3 linked regions of the Alligator mississippiensis genome follow. The protein of the gene in region 1 purifies or fractionates together with the protein of each later gene. This does not show direct contact. Links are inferred from orthologs where the notes say so. Each region holds a gene or a part of one and is shown on either strand. Other genes may lie near its edges. The genes, in order: PRDX5, PRDX1 and PARK7.

The links.
Region 2: the proteins of PRDX5 (region 1) and PRDX1 fractionate together in Homo sapiens (co-fractionation; 3 studies listed by BioGRID). This does not show direct contact. The link is inferred for Alligator mississippiensis from reciprocal best matches to the Homo sapiens genes PRDX5 and PRDX1.
Region 3: the proteins of PRDX5 (region 1) and PARK7 fractionate together in Homo sapiens (co-fractionation; 3 studies listed by BioGRID). This does not show direct contact. The link is inferred for Alligator mississippiensis from reciprocal best matches to the Homo sapiens genes PRDX5 and PARK7.

What each region holds. Positions count from the first base shown.
Region 1 is NC_081838.1:4,439,837-4,447,739, forward strand, and holds PRDX5 (peroxiredoxin-5, mitochondrial), read left to right. Parts: upstream 1-4,809; 5' UTR 4,810-4,902; coding exon 4,903-4,917; intron 4,918-5,544; coding exon 5,545-5,679; intron 5,680-6,046; coding exon 6,047-6,178; intron 6,179-6,609; coding exon 6,610-6,648; intron 6,649-6,891; coding exon 6,892-6,956; intron 6,957-7,272; coding exon 7,273-7,378; 3' UTR 7,379-7,596; downstream 7,597-7,903. Other genes in the region: ESRRA (steroid hormone receptor ERR1), read left to right, coding at 172-288, 446-568, 678-845, 929-1,213, 1,417-1,646; TRMT112 (multifunctional methyltransferase subunit TRM112-like protein), read right to left, coding at 2,776-2,877, 3,497-3,589, 3,725-3,826, 4,152-4,232. UniProt on the Homo sapiens protein: Thiol-specific peroxidase that catalyzes the reduction of hydrogen peroxide and organic hydroperoxides to water and alcohols, respectively.
Region 2 is NC_081828.1:2,605,269-2,612,945, forward strand, and holds the start of PRDX1 (peroxiredoxin-1), read right to left. Parts: upstream 3,045-7,677; 5' UTR 2,935-3,044; intron 557-2,934; 5' UTR 546-556; coding exon 440-545; intron 1-439. UniProt on the Homo sapiens protein: Thiol-specific peroxidase that catalyzes the reduction of hydrogen peroxide and organic hydroperoxides to water and alcohols, respectively.
Region 3 is NC_081836.1:20,167,757-20,175,423, reverse strand, and holds the start of PARK7 (Parkinson disease protein 7), read right to left. Parts: upstream 3,002-7,667; 5' UTR 2,997-3,001; coding exon 2,907-2,996; intron 2,330-2,906; coding exon 2,228-2,329; intron 2,058-2,227; exon of another isoform or gene 1,733-2,057; intron 1,566-1,732; coding exon 1,506-1,565; intron 400-1,505; coding exon 330-399; intron 1-329. UniProt on the Homo sapiens protein: Multifunctional protein with controversial molecular function which plays an important role in cell protection against oxidative stress and cell death acting as oxidative stress sensor and redox-sensitive chaperone and protease.

The sequences.
Region 1 (7,903 bases):
CCCGTGCTCCTGGCCCAAGGGGGTCTCTCACGGGTGGGAACAGGGCATCTTCTGGGCCCCAAGAACCCTCCCTGGTGCCCCTTACTCCTGAGTCACAGCTCCTGCTGGGGGTCTTCTGTGGGTGGGAGTGGGGGATCCTCCATCCTCTCTAATCAGCCCCCCCTTCCCCAGGCAGCATTGAGTACAGCTGCCCGGCCAGCAGCGCCTGCGAGATCACCAAGCGGCGCCGCAAGGCCTGTCAGGCCTGTCGCTTCACCAAGTGCCTGCGCGTTGGCATGCTCCGGGAAGGTAGGGGCTGCGGGATGGGGGTGAGGGGCACCGGCAGGGGTGGTGGGTCAGGTGTGGGGGGCTGGGGGAGCAGGAGCTGTGGCTCCCCCAGTGAGGACACTGGCAGCTCCAGTGCGGGGGTCCAGGCCACCGCCTGACCCCCTTGTTCTCCCCCCAGGAGTGCGGCTGGACCGGGTCCGGGGGGGGCGGCAGAAATACAAGCGCTGTTCAGAAGCTGACGGGACCCCCTACCTCAGTCCTCCTGCCCCCCCTGTCATCATGGCAGCCAGCAAGAAGTCCAGTGAGTGTGCACGGGTCTGGGGGGGGCTGCAGGTTGGGAGTGAGGGGTACCAGCAGGGCTGGGGGGGTAGGGGTCAGCGGTCACCCTGACCCCTCTTGCCCCCCCCCAGCCCCGCTTCCCACTCTGGTGTCCCACCTGCTGGCGGCTGAGCCCGAGCCCCTCCTGGCCATGCCTGACCCAGCACTGCCTGAGGGGCCCCCACGCGTGGCCACGGCCCTGTGCGACCTGGCAGATCGCGAGATCGTGGTCATCATCAGCTGGGCCAAGAACATCCCCGGTGAGACCTGACCCCTGCCCCCCTCCCCTGCCCCTCACTCCCAACCCGCACCATCCCCTAATGCTGCCCCCCATGCCCTCCAGGCTTTGCAGGGCTCTCCCTCCCAGACCAGATGAGTCTGCTGCAGGCAGCCTGGCTGGAGGTGCTGGTACTGGGTGTGGCCTGGCGCTCGTTGCCCGGGGGAGCTGGGCCCGACCCTCCCCCGCTGGTCTTCGCCCAGGACCTGGCGCTGGATGGGGCGGGGGCACGGGCGGCCGGGTTGGCCGAGTTGGGCGCTGCCCTGGCCCAGCTGTTGGCACGGTACCGGGCCCTGAGGCTGCAGCGTGAGGAATTCGTCTTGCTCAAGGCCCTGGCGCTGGCTAATGCTGGTGAGTTGTGGGGGACAAGGGGCTGCAGGTCAGGAGTGAGGGGCGCCACAGGCACGGGCCGTGGGTTAGGAATGAGGGGCACTGGCAGAGCTGGGAGGTGCTTGCAGAGCACCCCTGGGGCATGGGGACTGTGGGTCAGGAACGAGGGGGCACCGTGGGGCTGCAGGGGAACAGGCCCCCTGACTTCTGCCCTCTGTGCACAGACTCGGTGCACCTGGAAGATGGGGCGGGCGTGCAGCGGCTGCGGGACGGGCTGCTGGAAGCATTGGCGGCACTGGGGGGGGCGGGCCGTGCCGGGCGCTTGCTGCTGACGCTGCCCCTGCTGCGGCAGACAGCTGCCCGGGCCCTGCGGCACCTGCAGCGGCTGCAGCTTGGTGCCCGTGGTCCCCCCCACAAGCTCTTTCTTGAGATGCTGGAAGCCATGATGGACTGATGGATGGGGCCAGGCAGACCCACGTGCCCTTCCCCTCCTCCTCAGGGACCCCCAATGGATCTGGGGGCAGACAGATGGGACAGATGGGGGGGGGCAGGGGGGTGTGGCCAGACACACAGACAGCCCCACGGAGGCAGATGGACTGGACAGACGGGGATTGGGGTGGGGGGGTGAGGCGCACAGATCCATTGGACAGGAGCTGGACATTCAGATGGATTGAAGGCCAGACACGGATGCGCAGGGGTAGGGGTGATGGACGGACAGACTGGGGTGGAAAGTGGGGGATAGTGGATGGACACACGGGCAACTGGGTGGGAGCAGAGGCAAGACAGTTGGACTGGACCAGACCAGGGTGCACAGACAGACTGGACTGACAGAGGGATCCGGGGGCAAGACAGAAAGACAGCCTTAGGGCTGACCCATGGCCAGGCCACCCATCCCAGGTGGAGGCAGATGTGGGTGCATGGTCCACGGGTCCTTGTGTCCCTGGGGGGCTGGACAGAAGGACAGATTCTGTTGGGGGCAGGGCTGGGAAGCCAAGTCCCAAACCCCTGGAAGCCATAGACCCCTGATTCCCCCCCCCCCCACCAGTTCAGGGGGGCCTGAAGGGAGCTCAGCACTGGATGGGGGTCCCCCTCCTTAAAGCAATAAGTAGCCCTGGGCACTGTTGGCAGGGGGGAGATAGGGCTGATCTCCCCTGGGGACCCCAGGACTGCCCCCCTATCCCCAGCTTGGGGAGGGTCTCAGGGACCCCCCCCCCCAAAGCAATAACCCTTCTGTACATAGCAATAGCCCCATCTGGGCTGAGGGGGTCATCCCCATGTCCCCTCCCACCAGGGCTTGGGGGTGGGGCCTGGGTTAATTTATGGAGATGTACATATGCTAAATACCTCGGGGGCGGTGGCGGGCTCCCCCCCCCCCCGCCCCAATAAAGCGTGGAGATCTCGGACACCCCTGGTCGCTGTGTCTTCATTGGGGGGGCTCCGGGTTGGAAGTGGAGGCAGGGACAGTACATCACAGCTCTCCACTTCAACCCAACCGAGCTTTATTGATGCAAACAGACATAGTCCAGCCCAACCCCCACACAAACCCACCCCGTCCTGCCCCCCCTTGCCCCCGCCCCAGTCCTTCAGGTCTCCTCCTCAGCCAGCAGCATGTTAGGGATCCCCTTGGTGATGGGGAACTCGTGCCCCGAGTCTGGGCAGCGCAGGATGCCTTCCACCACCTCCACCTGTGGGTAAGGGAGAGGTCAGGCAGGGCTGGAGTCTTCCCAGGCAGGAGACCAGCTTCCCCCCCCCCCCCCCCTCGGCATCCACAGCAGTCTGGGGGAGATGGGTTACATGTGTGGGGGAAGGATTTCGGGGTGACACCCCTGGTGTTGGCGGGGGTTACCCCTGTTCCCGCAGCAAGCTGAGGAGGGGGATCTGGGAGGGGCTGTCAACCCCAGGGGTAAGGGGGAGGCAGGGTGCTCAGGCACCCCTGGGGGAGGGGGTGTCTGGGGGAGTCTAGCGGTCTGTAGGGGGTGGGGGAGGGTATAGGGGCCCATGGGGGGGCCCTGTGTGTGGGGTGCAGGAGGGGGCATTAGGAGTCCATGGGGGTGCTCAGGGGTTTCCAAGTGTCCCTGTGACAGTCTGTGGTGGTGGGGGAGAGGGCACGGGAAGTCAGGGGAGGGTGCTGAGGGCCGTGGTGCCATAGAGGTGGTGTGGGGGCCCATGGGTGGTCTGGGGCAGCTTAGGGACCAGTGGGGGATGTCTTGGGGGTTTCCAGGGTCCATGCGAGAGTCTGCATGGGGTGGGCAAATGGGGGCACCTATGTGCGGGGAAGGGTGGCGGGGGCATCGGGGACCTCACCTCCAGCAGGACGTGGTGCAGACGCCGCAGGAAGTCCTCGTCGCTCTCGTAGCCGGGGGCGGGCTCGGGGGGCAGGTCAGAGCCATGCCCCAGCTGGGGGGAGAGGGGGGAGGAGTCACCCGCAGGGGGAGGGGCCAGCCCTGAGTAACCACGCCCACCCCACTGCCCTATGTCCCCTTCATTGCCTGGTCCCAGCCCCTCCCACCTTAAGCCCCGCCCCTCACTCACGCTCTGGGCCGCCTGCAGCAGCGCCGCCCACTGCACCTTGGGCACCATCCGCGCCACGAACTGCGCGTTGAAGTCCACGGGGCTCAGCTTCACTTCCGTGGCCTAAAAGGGGACGGGGTCATTCGGGCTGGGGGCGGCAATAGGCCATGCGGGGGCGGGGCCTTGACACGAGGGAGGGGCTTGGGGATCCCCATGGGCGCCTGGGGGGCGGGGCTACGGGGGCGTACACTTCGCGGGAAGTGCCCCCGCGCAGAAGAGGACGGGGCCGGCCACGTGTGGGGCGGGGGCGGGGGCGGGGCACGTGGGGGTAGTGCTAGATCACGGGAGGCCTCGCAGTGAGCACGTGGGGGCGGGGCTACGGGGGTCCAGGTGGAGGGAAGGAGCGTCCGTGGCCACGTGGGAGGCGGGAAGGGGCGGGTGACGGCACCTGGATGCCCAGCGGGTAGCCGCCGCCGGGCCGCAAGCCGCGCACGTGCGACGTTAGCAGGTTGTGCGTCAGGAGCTTCATCCTCCCGCAGCGCCGCCGACTCCGCTCCCGCCGGAAGCCGGGTGACTGCCGGTCCAGGCGTCTTGTGTGTCCGTTAGACACCACTTCCGGCCGTGGTGTGCTATTCGGGAGGGTCCGGCTGGGAAACCCAAATCCCAAGAAAGAAGCTTCCGGCACGCTCTGGTTCCGGCGTCTTCCCGTTAGAGTAGGCGAATACTCTAGCGGGGCGGGGGGGAGGGAGAGATATGCAAACGATATGTAAATCGTATGCAAATTAATCAAAACGTGTGTGGGCGGGTTGAAAGTCCACCCCTCCCGCCCTTTGCACCATATGCAAATGAGATGCAAACCAGCCGTGGTGAAATATCGTCCCCTCATTTCCTCACGCGCGAGCCAGTTATATCAATCAGCTGTGATTGAAACCCTCCTCCCTGCCCCCCCGCCGCGTGCCGATCAGCTGTGATTGAGTAGCCCCTCGCATGCAAATGAGATGCAAATCAGCCGCGACTGGCTGCGCCTTGACCGGGGGGGTGGGGGGCGTGAAGTGATCTCTCTCCGTGGGAGTTGTCACTCAGGGCGTTGTCATGGCAGCGGGGGGCGGGGGGTTGCCGCAGGCGGGGCCCCCCCCAGGCCCAGGCCCAGGTCCAGGTCCGGCCCAAACTGACCGGCTGGAGGAGCGCGAGGAGCTGCCATGGCGCCCATCCAGGTGAGGGCAGCCGGGCCCCCTGTTCCGTGCATGGCCCCCCGGTGCAGCCCCCTCCCTCCCCCGGGTCCCTGGAGTTGGGGGGGCAAGATGGTGGGTGGGGGGGGTCAGTGACCGACCCCCCCCAGGTCCTGCGGCATCCAGGGGCGAGGGGGGGCTGGGCACAACCAGGCGGGGTCTGGTCAGGCCATGGGGGAAGGGGGGGCATAGATGGGGTGGGGGGCTATGGGGGGATCTGGGGTCTTTTGAGGCCCCACAGCTGCACAGAGTGGAGGTCGGAGGCATGTGGGCACTGGAGGGTCTCCTGGCATGGGAGCTGGAGGGGGGGAAGGGATGTGGAGGGGGGCCCTGGGGCACAGACTGTGCTGGGGGCAGGGCTCTGTCTCTGTGTGGGGGGGGGGTGTTCCTGGCAATGCTGGGCAGGGCGGGGCGGGGCGGGGGCGTTGTGCAATTCACTGGGAAACTCCAGGGAGCGGCTGAGGTGCTGCCCGGTGCGGGGGGCGGGGGGGGATGTGACTGCTTCCCCTTGGCAGCCCCAGCCCCCCCTGATTCCCATAGTGGATTTCAGAGCTGTTGGGGGGGGGTCCTGGCTGTGCTGGGACCCCCCCATACCTCCCCCTTCCCCCCCAGGTAGGAGACCGCCTGCCCAGCGTGGAGGTGTTCGAGGGGGACCCTGACACCAAGGTGAACCTGGCCACGCTCTTCCAGGGCAAGAAGGGTGTCCTCTTTGGGGTGCCCGGCGCCTTCACCCCTGGCTGCAGCAAGGTCAGAGCCCCACTGGACCCCCCACAGCGCTGATCTGCCCTAGTCCCCCTCTACAGCCTTGGTTACTCCCCCATACCCCCCAACACCCCCCAGACCCCACCCAATACCTTCCTGGTCCCTCTTAGGTTCCCCCATGCCCTTCCCTGCCCCCCGCAGCTCCCTCTATTTTCCACTGCCCCCTGGAAATCCCCTGTAACGTCCTTTGCTCCCCCCACCCACCAACACACCAAGTCAAGCTTGCAAAGTGTTGTGGGGGCTGGGATAGGCTTCCCCTTATATCCCTGGGCCCCGTGGGGTCAGGACTGGGGCTGGTGGGCACTGTCTCTGGGGGGTCCCTGATGCCCCCATGTGTGCCCCCCCACCCCAGACACACTTGCCAGGGTTTGTGGCAGAGGCCAAGGAGCTGCAGGGCCGAGGCGTGGACCTGGTCGCCTGCCTGGCCGTCAACGATGTCTTTGTGGTCAGCGAGTGGGGCAAAGCTCTTGGCACCCAGGGCAAGGTGAGGGGGCCTCAGGGGATGATGGAGGGCTGAGGGGGGGGGCAGCATTAGGGGTGGGCGGTGTTTTGGAGGTGAGGGAACTGAGGCAGGGGTGGGGGTGGCCTTGGAGGGGAGGGGGGTTGGAGTCCGTGGGGTGAGGAGGGCATGGGGGGCAGGATGGGGGGTTGTGTGGAGCAGGGACGGGGCAGCTGACTGGGGGCTGGGGCAGGGGAGTGTGGTGGTGGCAAGCCAGTGGCAGGGGCAGAGAGAGGATTTTTCCCTGCCCTTGCCCAATTCCACTGCCCCTCCCACCCCTGCCTGGGGCAGTTGACTCAACTTCCTGGGCCACCCCCATTCTTGGCAGCCCTGGTTTGCGTAACAAGGGGTTGTGTAACCATGTGGGGACTGTTTCTGCCCCCACCACACTAATCCTCTTTCCCCTCCCCCCCCAGGTGCGGATGCTGGCTGACCCCACCGGGGCCTTTGGGAAGGTAAGGGGGGTGTGGGTTGGAGTGAGGTGCACTGGCAGAGTTGGGGGTGGCAGGGGAGCAGAGGGCTGCAGGTCAGGAATGAGGGGTACTGGCTGAGCGGGGTTGGCAGGGGCTGTGGGCCAGGAGTAAGGGACACCGGCAGGGGGCTGTGGTGTGGGAGTGAGAGGCACCTGGGAGGGGGGCATCAGGCCAGGATTGGGTTCCTCCCTTCCCCTGCTGAGCCCCCCTCTTTCCTGCTCCCAGGCCACTGACCTGCTGTTGAACCAGGACCCGCTGCGCCAGCTTTTTGGGAATGACCGCCTCAAAAGGTGAGGTGCCCCCAAAACAAGTCCCCCTTATACATGTGCCTGCAGCCCCCCTTCCCAGCATGCAGCATGGCCGCTGGTGGCAGCTGGGAAGGGGGGTGATAGGAGAACACAGGGTGGGACCCCAAGGTCTGTAGGGTCCCCTTAACTGCTTTGGGGTCCCCAAGTTTTGAGGGTCCTTGTGGGGGGTTCCCAATAGCAGGGGGGGATAAGGGGGTTGTTGAAGGTTTAGGGGATCTTTGGGAGGTGGGGGTGCTTTGGGGGGTTGGGGAAGGGTCTGGGGAACCCCCCTCAGCCCTGACCCCCGATATCCCCATAGATTCTCGATGGTGGTGGAAGACGGGGTGGTGAAAGTCCTCAACGTGGAAGCCGACGGCACCGGACTCACCTGCAGCCTGGCTAGCAACCTCCTCTCCCAGCTGTGAGGGACCAGGCGTCTGGGCCCCCCACCCCATACTCCCAGTTTTGACCCAAGAGCCCCATTGAGACAAGGGGTAGGGGCACATCTTGCTGCTGCAGCTCCTGATTTGGGCCTGTAGGGGGTGCACAGGCTCCACCCCCAAGCTCTGGCCCCGCCCCTGCTGCTGAGGCCCCGCCTCCTGCACCCCCACTTTGCTGGAATAAATGGCTCTGTTCAGCTCAACCTGTGTGTGCATGATTGGGGGCCGTGCCCCGAGATGGGGGTATAGGGCTGTGGTGGGGTAGGGGGCTCTGGATTGCCCCAAGCTGGGCTCAGGGGGTACCAGGTGCTGTCCAGACCCCCCAGGCCAGGATCAAGGGCGTGCTGTCCAGGCACCCCAGGCTGGAATGGGGTGGGGGGAGTGCTGGGCACTGTCCAGACCTCCCCCAGGTTGGGATTGGATCAGTCAGAGGTAGGGTTGAGGGTGGAAACGGGTCCCATGGTGGTGGGGGCCGGACCCTGGACCAGATGGGCCCAGGCGGCCTGATCC
Region 2 (7,677 bases), on another chromosome or scaffold:
TTGCCTGCTCCCGTGTCAGAAGCGTGCTTCAGTCTGCACTTGGAACTGTTCACAGCATGAGTGCCTCAACTAAGGCACCGTTTCTCAACCCGGGGGTCACAACCCACACGTGGGTTGCAAGAATATGAAAGGGTCATGAACAAACTTCAAAAGGAGAAGCCATTTAACATGGAAAAACAACATGGGAAACTGCATTTTCCCTTGCAGATTGGCAGAGCTCCAGCCTGCGAGAGGCTGCCTGGGGTCCCCCCTGCCCCACACACTGGGGACTGGGCATCAAATGTGGGTCCCAGTACAAAAGAGGGGCGAGAACCACTGAACTAGTTCAATGTCTCAAGGATCACAGGCAGCTTTGTTTTCAGAAATGCATTTAAAACAGATTTAAGCCAAGCAGAAGAGCCATCCTTATCCCCACTCCCAATCACAATTACAAATTTACCTTTATAGTCAGAAAGCCTGATGTCTTTGAACTGCCCATCCGGCATTACAGCTGTAGCCTGGAAGTCAGGAGCTGGTTTCCCTATAAATGCGTTCCCTGAAGACATCTTGATAGGAGCTAAAATGGAGACACAAACATAACTTGGACACATCTTCCCCTTAAGTGTCTAAAGGGAGTCAGAGTCATGATTTTGGTCATCTCTTAGCAGTTCCTACTAAGCACAAAATACTGGTGGTTTAGTTTGCTACAGCTTTTCTTAAAGAAAAAGCTTGGACATCAAAAGGCTCAGCCGACATGACAAGTAGCAAACTGCTCCCTCCAGTTTCCTTTATTTCATACTTTGTACAGAAGCACGGAAGAAGTGCAGCCCACGCAGCTATACAGAGATGCTTGTGAAAGCAAGTCATGCATTCCCCCTTCACTCAAGTAGTCTCGGGGGAAGTCTTCCCTATCGAGGGCACAGAAACATTAGTGTTTGAACTTCGGCGGGGTGCAAGTTATCTGGAGTCCTAACACAAGTGCACGAGCAGAAAGAGCTAGCCATCTGCTCTTCCACCAACAACAGTGCAATTCCCACATTCACCGTGTCAGCATAACGGACCCTGATCCTATCCGCACGCTGCGTCACAAGGAAGTTTCTCTGTTCCACGTTTCCTGATAAGCAGTTCAAGACCTTGACCGCTGGCTCCATTGTCCTATTGATTTGAAGCACATAAATAACACTTGCTAGGCTTAGGAAGAGCAAGTCTTACATTAGCTAGTCCAGTTTGAGGGATACCAACTTCCATGGGATGTTAGCAAAAGCAGAGACTTGACACTACTATGCAATGCAGCAAAGGCATCCTGCTCTAAAATATCCAAGTATGAACATGTGCTATCCTGGTAAGCGCGTACCAGCTTCACCAAACTGTTTAATGTCATTGCAGAGCCATAGTAAGAAACCTATCAAATGCATTATCAATGAGGCAAAACTAAGGGTAAAGAGAAACTTGTGTGTAAGAATAGAGAACTTTTCTTAGTCCAAGGAAAACTGGAAGTTTTAATTCTTTAAAAGTGTCTTCCTTTTATTTCAGAAGTATTTCATACTTATTTTGGCCTGGGTAAATAATTGCCTTCGAAGAGGCTGAACCACCCGGTCAAGAGGTTCAATGGTTGGGCCTCCACACACAACAGCCTAGAAGCAGGTTTTGTATCCAGGGATACAGCTCTGCGTGGATTTAAGAGCAAAGACTCCAGGCCTCTTAATTTCAGAGACAAGCAAAATCTAAAAACTTCATTAACATATTCCTCCAGGAAAGCGGAAGATTTTATACTGGGCGTTAGGAACTGCCGCACTTGAGACTGTAACGAGGAAACTTGGTTACCATTCCCCACTACATTTGCTTGCTCCATAACATCCACCACCTTCCCATATTAAAATTATTTTTAAAAACAAACAGGTAAAACCACAGCATTTCCTGACCAGATGGGTGTGCAGACATCTCAGGATTTTTTTAGTTATACTTCCTCTTGCAGTACTTAAAAAAACAAAAAGTGCAGATGGGCACGGTCTCTAGTTCTGCCAGTTCTTTAAAAGCTGCAACTCCAGTAGTTCAGTTTAATCCTCCCCCCATCCAGCAAATCTCTTAATTAGACAAGAGGTTTCTCAACCATCATTTAACCCCAGGTGACTAGGTGGGTCCCACGGCACGGCCACAACTTCACCAAAGAACGAAGGGCATTTCATAACCCCCAGGAAGGCATGTGCCCACCGTCCTCCAGAGCCAGCGGGCCTGCCAGCTGCCAACCCCACCCTGCAACCGGGCTGCTTCTTCCACACGTTCAGCTCCATCCCTGCCAGAGCCCCGGGCTGAAGTGTTAGGATTAAACATCACCTGGGCTAACAGTTTGCCCGGCCTGGAAACCAGTGTCGTGAGCGCCAAGCCTTGCAAAATCGTAAGGCAAGGAGGACTGGAAGGGAGGTCACATCTAGCCCACCCCGCTGCTCACAAGCAGGGCCATCCCCAGCTGCGTCATCCCAGCCAGGGCTTTAGGTCTTAAACTCCCGGGACGGAGATGCCGCCATCTCTCCGGGCGGTCATTTAGTGCGACGGCCCCAACAACAATGTACCTCCTGGCATACAAGTGTGAGCGTGAAGACTCTCCCAGCAGACTCGCTGCCTTCTTCGGGAGAAAGGTTTCCCAACATCCAGCCCACACGCCCGCCTCTCTGCAGCCCGTTCTCCGGCGCAGGGAGGAGAGGAGAGGCCGTGGGGATGCCCCCCTTCCCCCGCGCTCGTCTCCTCGCTGCAGGAGCGGGATGCTCTTCTCCGGGCCGGGGCCCCAGGACCAGGGAGGGAGGGAGGGAAGGGGGGGCTGGGTCAGGCTGGAGGCAAAGCATCGCGGCCCGCACGCGAAGCCGGGCCTTTTCCCCCGTTGTTAAAGGCCCGGCTTTGCACAGGAGACAAACGCAGAGCTGCCCGGATCAGCACCGCCCGCAGCGGGGCTGCACTCACCGGCGGGCGGACAGACGAACGGAGCGGAGCGATGCAGTGCGGCGCAGCACGGAACGATGCAGTGCGGAGCGGTACGTCGCAGCACGGAGCGCAGCAGGCAGCGGGGCGGAGCGGGGAGGGCTCCGTCTTTATATCGCCCGGCTCTCGCGAGCGGCGCGGGGCGAGGCGGGGCGGGGCGGGTCCTGCCCTTCCCACGCGCCGTGCCCCCGCCCCGCCTCGCCCCGCCCATCACTCTGCAGCGGGACACCCCGCCGCGCCCCCGGCCGGGCGTGTGTGCGCTCGTGTGATACGTGTGTGAATCGCGTGTGCATACAGTTTCATGGTTCATATATGTATTGTGTGTGTACATATAGATGTGCGTGCATGCGTGTCTGCATTGTGTGTGCATATAGATGTGTGCGTGCATGTATTGTGTGTACATATGTGTGTGTATCGTGTGTGTGATATATGTGCATTATTATATATGTGTGTGTGTATTGTGTATGCGTGTCAATTATGTGTGTGCACGTGTGTGTACGTGTGTGCATGTATTGTGTGTGTGCATGTGAATTGTGTGTACATGTGTGTGCATGTATGTGTACGTGTGTGTATTATGTGTGTATGTGTTGTATATGTGTGTGTGTAAGTATGTGTATCTACCCACCAACACCCCCAAAACATGGTTATATACACTTACCGTGTTTTACTAAATATGTATATATTTACCAACACCCCCAAACCATGGTAATATATGTATACCATATATGTATGTTACCATGGTTTGGGGGTGTTGGCTATCTATCTATCTATCTATCTATCTATCTATCTATCTATCTATCTATCTATCTTTTATGTATTTATTCCTTTATTCACTATGTTTTACCAAACATGTATGTTTGCACAGTCTGGATTACCATGTCGAGGGGGTGTTGGCAGTAGCCGCGTTGGTCTAGGAACATAGGCAGACAAGGTTCTCCGTCTCATAAAAGATATCACATTTACCCAAATAACCTTGTCTGCCTACATCTATTTTTATACATGACTATATCAAAATATATGCATACATTTATACACGTGCACACATGTATACGAGCAAAACCCTTTCACCCTGCTAGCAACGTTAGAAGGCAAACGTAAGCCGTACTCTGTTTCTTGCCTCTGCTCTCACGAATTCGGCTCCAGCGGTCGGCGCAAGGCGAGTCATGTGATGCAGGGTTAAAATTAAACAATGAAGGCGATCTCTGAGCTTTGACTTGGCTGCCTAGCAGAGAATATTGAAATACTTTGGCTGCTTTATAGGACACGGAGGAGCTGTCGGGACTAATGATCCAACTTCTGAAACTTTCATGAGAGTTATGCAAAGGTCTTTTTTTGTGGTGCGGTTTAGGCACAGCATTGAGTGGAGCGAGAAAATACTTGGAGGCAATCTCAGCAGTTGTAAGACTGGCTTTAATGGGAGTTGGCAATGCCTGTTTATTTCTGGGCTGCACTGCCATTTACTTACCATGTATTAAAACATTAATATTTTGCCACGTAAAGGAAGCCATCAAAAGGCATCATTTTTAAACGTCAATCAATATTGGAAGACGATAAAAGTAGATTGTACTGGAACCTCCAAATTGCCGTATATTGCAAATATTTCAGAACCTGCACAGCCAAAGGATTTCTGTAGTCCTTACCATTAAGATTCAGACTCATTTATCTGTAAATAGCAAATATTTTGGTCATTTTACTGACAGCCATAGGGGCACAGCCAGGGTTCAAATTATACTTTGACTCTGGGGGGGTCTGCAAAAAAAATTGGGCTGCCCATTATGATGCCCTAATAAAACTGAAGACTCCCCAAGTTTTGATTTTAAAATCTTACCGGGGGGGGGGGTCTTGTCTTTTATGGGGGGCTCAGCCCTCCTTCCCCCAAACTCCCCTGTAAATCGAACCCTGGGCACGGCCATGTGTATAACGTGCCCCTGAGTCTCTGCGTATGAGGGACTGGACAAAGACGGTTGTCTGAAGAAGGAAAATTGTTTGAAAGTTAGTATTTTCTTTAAACGGTGAGCATCTGCCCTGAATTATTGCACATTTCGGCCTCTTTCATGATTATCTGTCATGCAGGAGTTGAACGTGGTGTACAAATACAATATGTATGTCTGGCAACACTGCCGTCTGCCTGCGTGAGCCGCTACGATTCTCGCTGTTGCGTGGTGTTCTTGTGCACCGATGAACACTCGTTCCGATCGGTTTTAGCGAGGACTGTCTTTTGGTACTGAGTTTATTTTTCTAAATGTTAAAAACAAAATGCACTCGCTTGCACGCCGCCTCTGAAGTGCTTTAGGATCCTGGAGGCTGCAGCGCGCAGTAGAAACCTCCTGAAAACATAGGCCAGGGAAATGTGTCTAGGTTAGCACGTGGCAAGCCAGGCAGTCTCAACGGTGGCGAAAGAATTGCTGACACACGATGCAACTCTTAGCAGTGTAGCTGCACCCTAACATGGATCAACCCCCCTTGCACAAATCAGGAGCAATTTTCTCGGGCTACTTCTCTTCTGTGCACTTCCAAGCGCGGGGTCTACTCATTTGTGTGGAGCTGCCACAGTGCAATTTGCCCTCGTTTGCTCTGAGCGTTGCCTTTCCGTTCACACCTCTGTGTCCTCAGGTTGTGTGTGGTATTCTGTCGTTTCCTTCTAAGCCGGTCTCTTCATCATCTGCTTCGGGGGTTTGCGGTTTGCTTGTTTTTGGGTAAGGAACCAGTGCTGCATTGTCAGTGGCTGCTATTTCCAGATAAAGGAGCGTGCTTCTCCAGCGATCTGGTTACCTCACTGTTAGGTGGGGGCATGTCATTGCTACGACAAGCTGAAGCCTGTTCTGAGCTCCTTGAGGCAGCAGAGTGAGCTTACTTGCTGGCACGGAGGAGATGGCTGGTACCGCTGTGATTGAGAAGAATAGGAATCTGTGGGCTTTACACCAATACACACAAAATTAAGCCCAAAAGTTATTGCTAGGGATCCCAATTATTATTTAGTGGTTTTAGCTACCAGAGTCCCTAGTCAGGAATGGGCCTTTTGTACCAGGTAGTACAGAGATACAAAGATACAGTCCCTTTCCCAAAGACATCACGTTTAAATCTAAGGGTCCAATTATTTGTTAAAGAAGAGCAAAATCCTGGCTTGGCTATAGACATCTCAGGGCTCTGCTGGTGAAAGTCTTCCAAGCTGTACGGTTCTCAGGCCTGTAGATGTGCCTATTCAATTGATGCGCTCAAGAGCGAATTGAGCCATTTAGGCCTACTAAGATGGGCTTTGTGAATGAGAAGTAGAAGCTCTGGAATTCAGTGTAAAAACAGGTGAAATCACGGGTTTTGAACACACATTTGCTTTTCCTTCTTTAATTGAAGTGATCGTCGTGTTTTCAGATCAAAACATACGGCCTTTCCTTTTCTTTATCCATGCGCTCTCAATGTTACGTTTTTATCATCATCGTATGGGTCATGACAGTCTTTTGATGACAAAAATGTGCCGTCTTCTGACAAAAAAGGATATAATTATTTCCTTTTTGTTCCATATTGAATAGTGTTCTAATTGTCACATTTTTTATTTATTTTGACATGTTCAAGTATCCTCTACTGTACTATACTATACTATACTATACTATACTATACTATACTATACTATACTATAGTGTCCAATAGCAATTTTCTTGGCAATAACTGTCCATAGTTACTGTTTCCAGGAGGACAGGCACTTTGCTTATCTCCTTTTCTTCCACTTCACTCTTTCCTCCCCTGCCCTCAACATTATTTTATCTTTTCTTTCCATTCTTTTTTTTCCTTTGCACTATCTTGCTGCTGCTTTTTCAGTCCTGTAGCTATAGGAAGCTCCATGGAAAAGTGCTCCTATATGAGTAGCCAGTGGGGTTAACCTTGAGACTCTACTAGGTTTGCATCAATTTGCAACGAAGAAAGAAACGGGTGGAACGACCCCACCACGCACTTCCAGGCCTGGTACAGTGAGGAATTTGTTGGCATTTCATCTTTAAATCCACCTGCTTTCCAAATCCTCAAAGTTTGTAACTTAGTTGTAAATGTGGACATCTAGAGAAGAAAATTACAGCTGTGTGTGATCTTCAGTCCTGGCCATCTGTAGCGACAGGAATGCAGTAAGCATGGGGGTATTTCACACACACACACAACGCCACATGCTGCTCTCTTAAGATCCATTCAAATGCTGCCTTGGAGGATCATACCTCCACAGTTCAAATTTGCATACATATCAGTCAGGTTAGCCTTCCTTTCAGCTTCATTGTATAAATAAGGAAATGCATACCTGAGGATGTGTGTTGAACAAATATGCCTTTGTTCTCTCAGTACACTAGTTCCTCGTGCAAACAATACCCCAACAGCAAAGTACCTGACATTGCACTTTTTGTGGAATCCAGTGACTCCAACCTATGGATTTCTTGCCCTCCCCTTTGCAGAAATATTGTTAATGTGATCAGGGTCAATGGAGCAGAAGAAAGACTTTTCTGGAGAATTCACACAAATATTATTGCCCTTAATTTAAGTTGAATCTGTGTGATTGTGTTTGAAACGTCTTTAAAAGTAGCTGGGAGCAGTTTGTTATGCCCCTGAAAATATTTTTTAGCTCTTTCCTAGTCGTTTAGAAATCTGAATCATTGAAACCCCCGGCCTGTGAAATAAGAGACAAAGAAAAGAAATAGTAAAAGCTGAGTCATTTTGCATCTGCACATATTTTGCCGACAGCAGCATGAC
Region 3 (7,667 bases), on another chromosome or scaffold:
CCCAAGAAAGCTATCGTGACTATGTCCTGCCAGCAGAATGTGTCCTGGCAGAGATAATGCTATGATAAGCAAATACTTTATAGAACCTCCTAGCACATTACATTTACACCCTGTATTTTAGAGCAGCTTAAATTTTGAAGAGACCAGCACAGATGTAAAAAACACTGACACCTTGCAAGATTAGTGTCGCAGTGGTTTACAGAGCTGCTTGTTTCTGCTAGATCAGTGGGCATTTGAATTTCTTTTATTACTAAGTAGTTGAGTAACAGAGATTTGTAAGAGGCACCTGTCCAGACAACACTTTAATACAATGCAAGATATTTCGTCACCTGCACAAATGGCAGCAATCAAGCCTTTCCTCATCTCCTGGTCCTTCAGGATGTCTTTAACAGCAGAGGACTGCATAAAAGAAACCGTATCACTTTACATAATGATTTATTTTAACATGACAAGTCAAGATACATTTTCTACTGTAAAAATATAAATCAAGAAATGAGAACTAAAACAGGAACTTCAGTCCTTCTGTTTTATAACATAGAACAAACAGATTTTAAAAGAAATTGTAAATGTAGAACCTTCAAAAGCAACAAGAGGTAACAATTAGAAGGGATATTTATTTACCTCCTATTTGATGGCTGAAACCAATATCTAAACCTATTGAGGCCACGGTAAGATTAAAAAAGCCAAACAGGAGACAAGTTTCTTAGACTTTACCCCCAACGAATCTAGTATTAGGCACTGTCAGAGAAAGCATAGCAAATTGAATGGACATCTGGTTTAATTCAAGTGCTTATGGCTTCAATCTACTTTACACTTTGTTGCATTAAATCTTTGTTTACCAATTATTGCATCTCCACACCTTAAGAATCGAAAGCACCTCCTTATTTTCAGAGTAATTAGGGCCAGGCTGCTTAACAGTTGATTAGCTTACAAAGGTCCAGAAAATTGGCAGAGGACAAGTGGTCATCAATGTAGCCACCCTCCCTCCTACCAAATTCCCAAACCCAAAAGGTGCCCCCCACCCTTGGACTGGTCCACACCCCCTCCCTCCCACTTCTGAATTAGGGGCTGAGCCACACCGCCTTTCCCCCCTGCAGGGCCTGTTTGGGGCCCAGCCATGCCTCCTTTCCTCCTCCACAGTGCCAGGTTGGAGCTGAGCTGTGCTCACTTCCCCTGCAGGGCCAGATTGGGGCTGAGCCATGCCCCATTCCTCCCCCTACCCCCATGGGACTAGGTCTGGCTCCTTTTCCTTGCAGGGCCAGGTTACTGCTGGCCTGCCCCCGACCCTTCTGCCTAGTCAGATGGGGTCTGCTACTCCTGCCCCAGGAGCCGGATCGGGACCACCAGCTGGATCCAGCCCACCTGCCAAAAATGTTGGGCACCACTGCTCTAAAATATTTAACTAAATTTGCAGAAGTAGAAGCTAAAAAGAAGCATCACTGAAAGAATTAAGAGCATTCCATCAGATGGGTAGGCCTTGGTATTGCTGAAGAGAAGTCTTTTACCTCTGACAAGTTCTGAGCTCCTAGATTACCTCCTGGTAGGACCACCACATCATAAGGCCCCTAAAGAAACACCATTCTGTTAGTGTGTTATCAAGATTGTTCATGGAGAAGACCTACCTTCATAGTGGTGAGAATATACTGTAATAAGTAACAGATAAATCCTAATTTCTGGGGAACTTCCAAAATATTTACTTAATGGAGTGCCTTATTGTCTCCTTTCCCACCAGAGTGTTAGAGACACTTGTTCCAAAGCAACCTCTGCCAACAAGAAGTCTGAGTGTGGGTGAGCTCAGTACCCTAGAGTGTGAATGTCAGTGCTTCAGTGTGATCACAAGAGCTGTGCTGCAAAAGCTCCCGACACAGCCCTGTTACTGCGCTTCCTTCCTAAGCAAGGGCTCTCTGTTTATACAAGTCACCCTATTTTTTCAGTGTCTGGGTAACACCTTAAAATAAAGTCTGAGTTGATTTTGTAAAATATTTAAAGTGTCTGGATGGAGTGTGACAAGTTGTGCAAAACTTTAGTATTTTCTTGAATAAAGAAAAAAAATGCTAGCCAGACAGATTTCTATGAAAATTGCAGAATGTATCTTTGAGCATGTGATGCTGCTGCTGCAAGGAGTGAGTTAACAGAACATTAATGAAGGAAAATAAATATAATTCTAAGTCTGTTGTGAACCACAAAAGGCCAGTGTTAAGCAACATGCCAAATCAACAGGACAAACCTCTTTTCTGGCGTCTTCCAAACTGGTGTCAGGACAAACAAAGACATCTCGGCTGCACTGCACTGGCTCTTTTCCTGTTAGGCCTGCAACTGTGACCTTGATCTATCAGAAGTACAGACAGCATTAGGACTCAGGAAAATTGCCTGCTTTGGAAAGTTGCAGGGGTCAGTTACATAGTATTCACAAGTATCTTTTAGTTAAGAGGTCATTTAAACCAAGTGAAAGTGGAGCTGTGAAGACAAACTCACTCCAAAAGTCTCCCTCCTATAAAAGCAACAGTCAGGGAGAAACATCTGTGGTGATATTGAGTTTCGTAGTCTGGAAGGTCTAACAGATATATTCAATAACTCATCATTTGAACAACCCTAGTCAGGGACCATTTCAACCCAGAGCCTTTTACATTCCAGAAGAATCAGACTAAGTAAATCTGTTAAAGGATTCATCATCCACTGGCAGGCTTTGCTCATGATCTTCTGGATGTTTGCCCTAACTGTATATAGCGCATTACTCAGTTCCTTCTTTTTCACTCTCTGATACTGGTCAAAATACCCTAGACATGCATGGTACCTCACAGGTAAAGAAAATAAGGAACAGTGCACGGGCTGCTTGAAGACTGATTCAAAAGAACAGCTTTGATTTCAGAGGGACCTCAAGGGATTGTAGTGGTTGGCATACTCACTCCAGCCCTTCTCATAAGATCAGTGGGGATAACAGTTTCCATCTCCTCTGCTCCTTTAGCCAGAATTACTAAGGCTCTTTTTGCAGACATGTTTTGTTGGCACTAAGATGCTCTACTTTCCACAATGTCCCAGTGCTGCACTGAAGCCTCCAGCATACAAGGACCAATACTCTGCTTAGGCAAGACAAAGGAGAGACCATTAGAAATTGAACTGCCCAGATAGATTTATCCTAAACTCAGACATCACCATACAACATGCACCAGTTCCTCTGCCCATGCTGTACCACAGGAAGTGTAAAGGGAGGCTCTGGACTGCTGTGCTGGAAACAAAATGAGGGAACTTCCTAACAGAGTACTTGGGTCAGATCATCCTTACAGTTTATTCGAATGAGACAGCACAACCAAAGTGCATCACAGGGTAATAAAGTATGGCATCTCTGTCTCATTTTTCAGATAAGCCCCATATCAGCACAGTTTAGAAGATTTAGTGAAGATTCAGAACAGTGTTTAATTAGGCAACTATAATCTGATTTTATAAAGGAAAGTTGAGACACCAAGGAGTTAAATAGCTTGCATGGCAGGACACCAGTGCAGAGCTGGGAAGAGAATCTTGGACTAAACACAATTTTACATGACAGCCATTTACCAGCATTAGTGTTTAAAATAGACATTAGGTTGGTTATCAGACTGCTCACCCACAGAGAGAGACTGATGATGACTCCCACCCGAGGTTAGTTACACTGTTAAGTGGGTTTAATTGGGTGTTCAGCTCATATTTGAAGCTTCATTTCCTGACAGTAGTCTGCAGGAGTTTCCTGTGAGTTGTCATGACCAATAGTGTCACCAAATGTTTGATTAATAGATTTTCTGGTATTTCCCCAATCTAATGGGGGAGGGGAAGGTGCATATCTTCCCTAAAGTGACTGAACAGAACAAACTGGGGGTAAGATTTTTCACAAAAAACAGGCTCCTAAGTGGATGGCTAGATTCTGGAGAGCAGTTGGTCTTGCACCTACCTTACACCTCACATGCATGTAGTAAAAGTATTTAGTAACATTTTGTGTGTGTGTGATTATCAAGTTTCTGATAATCACACACACACACACACACACACACACAAAATCACAAGGTGGCAACAATGATGACCAATGCACATGGACTCATTTCATAACTTGCACAACCTCTTAGCAGGAGGTTGGGTTTTTTTCCAGTAGAGGGAATTTCCATCCCAACATGCATATAATTTGGGGGGGGGGGGGGGGGCGCTTTATCAAATGTGACATAAAATTAGTCACCTTGCTGCAGGAATTCAGGGGAATAGGATTCCTTCAACTTGATTTTGATACACTCTTCTTTGCTCTCTTTCTGCTCTGCATTGGCAAAAAAAATCAGTAGGAAGCAAGCTATTTTTTTTCCTGTGTGTTCATTCCCAGCCAGAAGAACTGCCTCTTCTACTCTACCTTGGACTGAAATTACTGTGCAATAAACTGTTAATTTTAAAGATACACCTTACATCAGTCGAATCATGGAAAAGGAGTGCTAGAAGAGACCTCATGAGGGCTCAAGGCAGGATCATCCCTGATTAAACCATCCCAGGCAAACATCTGTCCAACCTGCTCCTGAAAATTTCCAGAGATGAAGATTCCCAAACTTTCCCAGGTAGCCTTTTCCAATGTTTGGCAACCCTAGTAGTCAGAAAGTTTTTCCTAATCACCAACCTAAATTTCTTCTACTGTAGTTTATCAATGTTGTCCCCCTAATCCTGTCCCTTCAGGAATTTGACTGGTATCAAATCCTCCCCCACCCCCCCCCCTACAGACTACATAACTCTAGCTCTTTCAGCCTTTCCCCATAAGTAGTGCTTTCCAGGCCTCTAATCATTTCTGCTGCCCTGTGCTGGACTTTCCAATCAGTCCACATCCTTTGTGAAGTGTGGGGCCCAAAACTGGACACTACTCCCAGTGAGGACTCATTAGTGCTGAATAGAGCAAAAGAATCACTTCCCTTGACTTGCAAGTGATGCTTCTGTTGATAACAGACCCCTATGCTGTTGGGTTTTTTTTTCGCGGCAAAAAAAAAAAGAGCATGCTCTACTATAACCCCCAACTCCTTCTCTAAAGCACTGCAGCCCAGCCAGCCATTTCCCAGCATATATTTCTGCATGCAGTTATTCCATCCCAGGTGCAGGACTTCACACTTTTTGTCAATTCTCATATAGCTGATTGCAGGACATTTCTCTAGTCTGTCCTGGTCACCCTGGATCCTAGTCCTGCTCTGAAGAGCACCCATAGCTCCACCCAGCTTAACGTCACCTTCGTGCATGGATCCCATCCTCCAAACCATTAGTGAGGATATCAAACAATCTGGGACTCAGGGCAGAGCCCCGGGTGCCTCCTCTGGACAGACACTGACAGCCTTTCCTGTCAAAGGTTTCACCAAGGCTCCCAGACCCGTAGCATTTTTTTAAAGCAGCCTCTGAGCAGCAGGGCCGTGACTCTCCGGGCAGCGTCGGACACCTAACACGGCCAGAGCCTGAGGGAGCTGTAGCGACCGCCCACCGCCCCGCCCCGCGGCGACTGACGGGTCGACCCCAGTAGCTGCAGCCAGAGAGGCCCCGGCCCAAGCAGTCTGCGCGGCTTCCTTTCCTCAGGCTGGAGCGCTCCCACCCCCCGGCAGCAGCAACGGCGGCCTGGGGGTAGCGGCGCCAGCTGCGGGTCAGGGGCGCCCCGCACCAGGTCGGCTCCCGACAGCCGCGGCCCCCCAGCCCGCGCCCGTTATGCCGCCCGCCCCAGCCGACCCTACCGCGGACAAGCGTGGCTGCTGCCCGGGCCAGGCCCGTGTGCGTGAGCACCTCCCTCCCCTCCTGAGCGGCCGCGAGCTGCTGTTGGCCCGCGGCTGCCCGGCCTGCTAAGACCACGGCCGGCGCGGAGCTCGGGTAACGCGGGAGCTGTCCCGCCTGAAGACGGCTCAGCGGCCGCTGGGAGACCCTCGGCCCGCAGCTCGGCAGGAAGGGCGCGGCGTGGGCCGGACTCGCGCCCCTCGGGGCACTGCGGGTCGTGCCCTTCCCTCGCCAGGCAGTGCGGGGAGAGGGCGCCACGAGGCCCCCGCGGTGCTGCGCGGGCCGGCGCCTCTCGGTCCGCAGCTGGTGCGGAGCGGGAGGTGGCAAACCCGGAGCCACCGGCCAGCGCCCCGCGGGCTCGGCGCCTGCATCTACGCGACCGGATCCCAGCCCGCCCTCCCGCCACCGCCTCGCCTCCAGGCCCGCCCGAGCTGCGAGTCCCCGGCAGGGCCGTCCGTGGGCGGCGCTGCACAGCACGCCCGCAGCGCAGCTGCCCCCTCCTCCGCGCGACAACTCATGCGGGGTCGTCCCCGCCCGGCCCGGAGCCCGCCGCGCCCTGCTCTAGGCCTGCAGGGCGCCGTCCCCACGGCCCGCTCCCTCCCCCGGCGCCTTGTTCTGCGGGGCAGAGCTGCGCTCTATCCGCGCCGCCCACGCAGGGGTCTCACTCGGGCGCGCAGGCCCCGGCCCGGCCGCACTGCTGCCAAGCGCGGAGCTGCTGGTTCTCTGTCCGCTGCTCACAGTCCGCCCACGCGTCTCCTTGCTGACGGCTCAGCACGGGCTCGCGGGGGGAGGCAGCGAGTGGCACAGGGTAGGCCCCCGCCAAGCGTTACAACGCAGCGCAGCGCCCCTGGAAGCGGCGGGGGAGGCTCGCAGAGGCGAAACGCCCACTCTGACGTGCTTCCCCAACGCCACCTCCGAGGCCCGGAGGCGGAGAGAGACGTCTGGGGCCGCTAGACTCCGCCCACGGCACGCAGAGCCAATGGCGGTGCGGGAAGGCTCCGCCCACCCCCTGCGTGGGTCTGCTGTGGGTGTTGCTGCTCCGGCTCTCCGATGCTGGTGAAGGGCAGGGGCCTGATCTGGGCTGGGGACCGGGGCAGGCCGTTGGGTCTGTGAAGGTGGCACGTGGCCGTGCCGTTACGCCCTGCTCGCGGCATCGGGCGGGCCTGTAGCGAGGTGCCCTGCCCTAGTGGCGTCACTGCGGCGTGAGGGCCATGCTGGGGCCCACAGAATGTCACTCCGACATTTCGATCAGCGCTGACTTAACCAGAGCCCGCCTCTGACGTGCGTGCCCTTTTCTGCGCAGGAAAACGAAGCCCTAGGGGTGGCAAGTTTAAAATAGGGTTAGGGACTGTTAATTTGTAGTCCTGATCAGGGACAGATCCAGAAGGTGTACACTGGTGCACTTGCAGAACCTCCTTCCTGCTCCCCCCCCCCCACACACACACTTTTTTTCCTTTTTTTTTGTAATTCCACTCGAAGTTTAAAACCAACTGTTCGATAGTGGCAGCAGCATTTCCTGTCAGGCTGTGCTAAGGAAGTCAGCTCACTCCATGGCCCATTGTAATCTATTGATTTTATGGGATCCCCCCTAAACTGTTCATGCCACAGGTGTTAACTTGTCTTCTTTTTAAAGCTATCCTTTGTTTAAGCAACCCTGCTGTGTTACCTGCTCCTGAAGCTCCTATTTCACCGCCCTACAGATTGTTAAGTCATTCCAAAGAAGTTGTACATGTTTTTGCTTCATACGGTCCTGGGCCCCAGCACTGTTTCCAGATTATTTCCAGTTTTCCACACTTTCCAGTTTATTTTAACAGAAGAAAAATGTGTTGCTTCTTATGTGAAGATGCACCTCACCATCTGCACCTCCTTTTTCAAAATCCTAAATCTGCCCATGCCTGACCCCTGCTACTCCTGCAGTGGGG